Caenorhabditis elegans: one gene and its partner. The protein of the gene in region 2 interacts with the protein of the main gene of each other region in a pairwise test. Each region holds a gene or a part of one and is shown on either strand. Other genes may lie near its edges.

Region 1 (3,627 bases), on a different chromosome or scaffold from region 2:
TGTCTGCTGTTCGATTCAGATTTACGAATTGAAGCGGACGTTGTGAGAGTTTTCAACCCAAACTTTGTTGATGAATATGTCTCCCGTCCTCTCCAATTCAAAGTCGAGCAATTTCTCGTCATAATCCATAAAACATCTCTGCGAATCAAGAAAATTGAAAACCCCCATTAAATTCCCCTTGTTGTTGTTATTTCTCAAGTGAGAATGAATATTTTTGTTGAAATTTTCTTTTTTTTTGTAATGTCAGTTATATCTGACATTTGCATCGTTTCAATATCTCTCAAAATCACATTTTAATGTACCTTTTCAGCAATTGTAACATTGGAAATTCAAAAACTACTGGATTTTTCCTCCAATTTTATGCTTTTTACCCTTTTTCCCGAGACTGGACCACAGAAAATAGTTTGCTGATTATCAAAATATTGAACAGGACGTTGTGAGAGTTTTCAAACCGGACTTTAATGAAAAATATGCCAACCGTACTCTCAAAATCAATATCGATCAATTTCTCGTCACAATCTATTGCGAAGTGTTGAAAATCGAAAAAAATTGAGGAACCCTGTTAATTTTCCATTTTTGTTGTTATTTCTTAAGTACTTCATGTTGATTTTCTGACGTCTATATAGGTTGAATATCTTTTATAATAACATTTTAATTATGTTTTTTAGCGATTTTATCATTAAAATATCTAAGAAGCGCTTTTCCTGCTCGATAAATTGACAATTTTCCTTGAGAAAGCTCTCAAATTAATAATTTTCACAGATTCAAAAAAGCCGAGAGAAGCCTGTTTTCACGAAATATTTATGATTTTCCAGCAAAAATGTGAATTTTTCGAATTAAAAATTTGTCAGATTTGATCGGGGTGCAATTTTTGTTGAAATAAACTCATGTATAGCATCGGTTTTGAAAATCCAACCTCCAACCTCTCACTTCGTTGCATCGCGTTGCGTCTTTCGCCATCCATCCGTATCTATAAGATTCGGTTTTGTTGTTATTTCATGTTGTGTTTTTATTGTTTCGATTAACTCAGAATGACCCTAAAAGGTTGAATTGTCATTATGAAAATAATCTCAAAATAAAAATTGTCTAGCTTGAAAAATGAAGCTTCACTTTTTTCATGTTAAATTCTGAACGATCGGCAGTTTATGTGCGTTTTTTCAAACCAACGTAAAAACTTATTATCGGAAAATTGCTTTTATATAATGCTACACTTCAGAGATAAGAAATGAGGAATATTTGAAGACAACAACCATTTTTGACAATCACGCGATTCAGGAACCTGTCAGCGGTCAGCAATAAATCTACTTTCCCTAATTGTGTCTCTGACGAATACCGAGAGAATGAGGAATACTGAATTGTTGGAACATACTTAAGCAGTGTCGAAACTGTTGTTGCCATGTTTGATGTTTTTCTTTTTATGATAAACTAATATAGAATTTCTGGTACTTTTATATTTAAATCATTTTTTCAATTAGGTTGGAATTTCTGGTATTTTTATATTTTAACCATTCTTTCGATTAAATAAAAAGGTCAAACTTTAAATACAAAATCCACATGTTTTTGAAATTATAATATGACACCTTACTTGACAGTTCTCTCAAAGTTATGTCTTTTGAATTAAATTCATTTATTTGAAAGACTAGAAAATTGTAGATCCAGCACTGTTTTTAGGTACGTCTATGATTGAGTTTTTACAGTATTCCTTCTATTAGTCTTGCATCCCTACTACCACATATTTATTTTTATCATTTATGTATTACGTTTATTTGAACGTGAAAATTTCCTCTTTTGTTTCCTCCGGTACTTTGTCCTAATTTCTTTTGTTCCGGAAACTTTGAAATCTAACATAATTTTCATATTTCTCAGAAACCTATGGAAGCGAACCAGATCAACGAGAAAATGGCCAAAAAACTGACAGATGAGTTGAAGGCTATTGAGATGTTAGTTTTTTTCTGTTTTAACTAAAAAAAATTGGTTTGACTTGAAAACAATATAATTTTTTAATGAACATAACTTTAGCTCTGGACCTCCATCACTCTTCGATATGCCAATGTGTGTAATGCATACAATTGTGGACAATTTGGATGCAATCGATCGGTTACCTCACTTTTATAGTTTTAAAGTTTAATTTCTCTTTGATTTCAGATTGATTCTTCGCTATGTAAACCGAAAATTGCGGAATTTCGTTGATAACAAGAAGCCAATTTTCAAGAATGTTAAAGTATATTCTGTCGTGGGTGGCTATAATCTTGTACTAGGTCATGATAAATCTACAATATTTTATGATTCAAAAGGTTCTGGTTGCATTGCAAGATGTGATGGTCGCAGGATGCGGAAAATCAACAAAAGCTCGTTGGCTGCACTGTTTGGTGATCTCGAAGTATGGATGAAAAATCCGCAACTTCAACTGGATAAGTTCAGCTTGTACGCAGTGTGTGACGATGAACTGACCACAAACCTTCTCAAAAAGATTACAAATGTAGAATATATGTTTCATGCCAAAAGTATTTACCTGAGCGTTGCGAAGTTCAGTAATGTCATCTCTATCCTTTCTCACTTTAAACCAGGATTTCTTGAAGAAATTGTTTTTTTCTGTCATTCTGGTCATGAAAGTATACATGAACTCTTTCTTCTAGAACAATGGAAACAAGTTAAATCAGTCTTTATTAAGTGGTTCCCATTCGATGATTTCCCCTTTGAGCACTTGGTCCATGTGTCTTGTTTCGAACTCAACTTGCCCAGAATATCAGTCTCTGTTGCGATTATAATTAGAGACGTGAGCTCGAATATTGACCTTTCCACAATTTAATCTATAATTTGTAGGTTCTCATGAAAACCGCTCAATTCGAATATGGAAAGATTCGTCTGTACGATTTAAACAATATGGATGACCCTCCAGATATTGAAGCGGACGTTGTGAGAGTTTTCAACCCAAACTTTGTTGATGAATATGTCACCCGTCCTCTCCAATTCAAAGTCGAGCAATTTCTCGTCACAATCCATAAAAGATCTCTGCGAATCAAGAAAATTGAAAACCCCCGTTAAATTCCCCTTGTTGTTGTTATTTCTCAAGTGAGAATGAATATTTTTGTTGAAATTTTCTTTTTTTTTGTAATGTCAGTTATATCTGACATTTGCATCGTTTCAATATCTCTCAAAATCACATTTTAATTTACCTTTTCAGCAATTGTAACATTGGAAATTCAAAAACTACTGGATTTTTCCTCCAATTTTATGCTTTTTACCCTTTTTCCCGAGACTGGACCACAGAAAATAGTTTGCTGATTATCAAAATATTGAACAGGACGTTGTGAGAGTTTTCAAACCGGACTTTAATGAAAAATATGCCAACCGTACTCTCAAAATCAATATCGATCAATTTCTCGTCACAATCCATTGCGAAGTGTTGAAAATCGAAAAAAATTGAGGAACCCTGTTAATTTTCCATTTTTGTTGTTATTTCTTAAGTACTTCATGTTGACTTTCTGACGTCTATATAGGTTGAATATCTTTTATAATAACATTTTAATTATGTTTTTTAGCGATTTTATCATTAAAATATCTAAGAAGCGCTTTTCCTGCTCGATAAATTGACAATTTTCCTTGAGAAAGCTCTGAAATTAATAA
Region 2 (2,737 bases):
AAAAACTATTATTGGAAACAACCGGCACTGGATATATGAATATTATGTATCTTTTAATCACAACTCTCGAAAAAGTTATCCCCCCAAAGTCTGAAGAATTGAGCATAGTGAAACTTTACTTAACTAACAAAATTGAAAAATAATATTCCACAAAAAAGGGCAAATTAAGGCAGATGAAAAAAAAAACTTTAAAAAAAAGCACACTATTAAATTTTCCAGATTTAGTAATCAGAACGCTGCATTCAATTCCGTCATGAAGTTTATAAACGTTTAGTTCTTTTAAAACCTAGTATTTTGCAATAAACACCAGAAATGTACAAGTTCGGCCAAATTGGATGCAAAATCAGAAAAAATCGGAAATAAAAATCCGGTAATTTGGGGGCTCACCTCATATTCTGAAACAACGAGAACTTGATTTACATATGGTTCTTTGATATTTAATTTTAAGCAATTTTTTAATTAGTAGTGACACTTTAGTTGTTTGTTTTGTTTTCCAACTATTCTTTTACATTCTTATAACTTCAATTTTTCATTTATGAGGTTTGTAAAATAATTTATTCACAAATAAACTTGAATCAAAGTGTATAAATATATTCTTTCAAACATCTTCTTCACAATATGTGAAATTAAACATCAATCAGAATCCGTTGTGAATGTCATTGCAGATGTTCCCTCTCCACCATTTGCCAACGCTTCCTCCATTTGTTCTTCATCTGACCTGATTCCATAGATCTTGCGAATTTCTTCCGTGCTTTTTCCTCGAATCAATTCTGCTGCGGCTGCACACCCCATATTCATCAAATCTTCGACTCCAAGCGCATGAGAAGCATTGAGTAGTGCAAAAAGAACTCCCGATTCCACGTTGAAAAACTGCTTGTCCCATTCGGAAAAATCGTGGTAACGAATTTTGGAGTCTCGTCGGGCGAGCGGGTTGTCCTGATAATGGTAAAGCCACTCTATTACAGCTTGAACAATCGATGAGTGGAATGGAACGAGAATTGGATCTGCTCGTTCACAATTTCTGTCGTTCACTCCATGGTCAATAAACTTCTGATTGATAAATGCACAAAATTTCATTGGTCCTCGTTCGACATTAAAAATTTGACCATCCTCTGACTTCAGTTTGTACAAGGGCGCAGATCGTGGTGTGGTCATGATGTGGAACTAAAGGTAATTGATTAAATAGTTTTGCAATTGTTTCAAAAATATTATTGAGTGGATTCAAACCACACAAAAATAAATATATAAATGAGATATCTTTAAAGTAATTTTTATTATTTATTTGGCGAATCATAGACCTGTGGAAAAGAGCTGGAAGAATACACTATGAATTTATTAAAGATGGAATGAAACGATTAAAAACTGGAATTGTAAAATTTTTTGAAGAAAAGTGAATGGCGTTGTGAGTCAAGTTGATCAAAGGCAAATTTTCTATATTACAAATCTACAGCGAAAGTTTTAAAATATAAATTGAACGAAGAAGCAGAGAAAATAAAATTGAATACAAGACGGTTGAACACGGGAAATTAGCATTAAATGTGGTGGTGGCTGAGAAGTATGGTGGTTGTATTTAAGTTTTTTTGTAGGGAATCGAGAAGAGAATTTTTGATTCAAACTTGAAAAATAAAGTTGCATTGTTTACAAAATTAGTATGGTTTTTGCATTTTTTCTGTAAAATATAAAAGACGAAGAATACTTTTGCTAAAATGTTGCCCAAATTATCACAAAAATTTCAAAAATGGGCTCAACTTTGATCTTATGATTACATTTTTCTCACTTCAAATATTTACTGAAATGAAAACAAATAGTCTAAATTTTCCCATACCATACGAAACACCACACATCTGAAATGAAATTCCTAAGCCGCTGCAGCCACCACTGGATATACTGGCTGCTCCTCCTCTTCATCATTCACCAATCCGTCAATAATCTCTCTAGGATTTTGTCCGACGACACGGCAGCACATGGCGAAGAGACCAGGTACAGTAAAATCCCTCGCGGCTCGGATTATATCAAAGAGCATGTTGTGCCTCACCATCAGAAACGACGCATCCCAGTCAGGAATATCATTGGTTTCCGGTTCAGATTCGTCGTAGGGCGGGTCGTGCTTATGATGGTCGCACCACTCGATCACTTTCCTCATCACTGTCGCAGGGATTTCTAGTTGAATTGGCTGCAGTTGATCGGCAGGAATCAGGTCTAATCCAGCATTTCTAAATAGGTCCTCAATCCGTCCTATCATTCCGATTGTTCGCCTATCTGCCAGAAATCTCTGCCCATCTGTTGACCGAAGTTTGTAGAGTATTACAGGTTCTTCAACTTGCATTACACTGAAATACTTGAAAATGTCTGTAGTAGAAAGAATGAAAAGAAGAAAAAAAATTAGCAAATAATAGTAATAGTCAGGATTCAAACTATTTCCTTAAATTTTCTAGATGAAGTTCTATTTGTATGTAGTTTCTTGCAGAAGAAAAAACTAAATTAAATCGTTTGACAATAAAATTCAATGTGTAATAATTTCTTTCGCACTTTTGCTTTAAAAAACGTAGCTGAAAATAAAGTTTTTTTATCCGATTCTTAGAACTATTACAATGTTAAACACAGAAATTTTTGGATCAATAAAGTGTATGTCAAGAATATGATGGGTGACCACTAGTTGGTACAAAAAAAATGAAAAAAAAGTCACTGATAAGTCACGACAATCATTACTTTCTGTTGAACAGTTCAATTACATAGC

The links. Proteins that work in one complex are often made in the same cells at the same time.
Region 1: the proteins of skr-20 (region 2) and fbxa-116 interact in a two-hybrid assay, tested with the Caenorhabditis elegans proteins (one large-scale study listed by BioGRID).

The regions. Positions count from the first base shown.
Region 1 is NC_003283.11:20,187,128-20,190,754, reverse strand, and holds fbxa-116 (F-box domain-containing protein), read left to right. Parts: upstream 1-1,864; 5' UTR 1,865-1,872; coding exon 1,873-1,940; intron 1,941-2,019; coding exon 2,020-2,097; intron 2,098-2,145; coding exon 2,146-2,776; intron 2,777-2,823; coding exon 2,824-3,045; 3' UTR 3,046-3,098; downstream 3,099-3,627. Other genes in the region: fbxa-115 (F-box domain-containing protein), read left to right, coding at 1-171.
Region 2 is NC_003284.9:13,222,383-13,225,119, forward strand, and holds skr-20 (Skp1-related protein), read right to left. Parts: upstream 1,156-2,737; coding exon 634-1,155; downstream 1-633. Other genes in the region: skr-19 (Skp1-related protein), read right to left, coding at 1,859-2,326.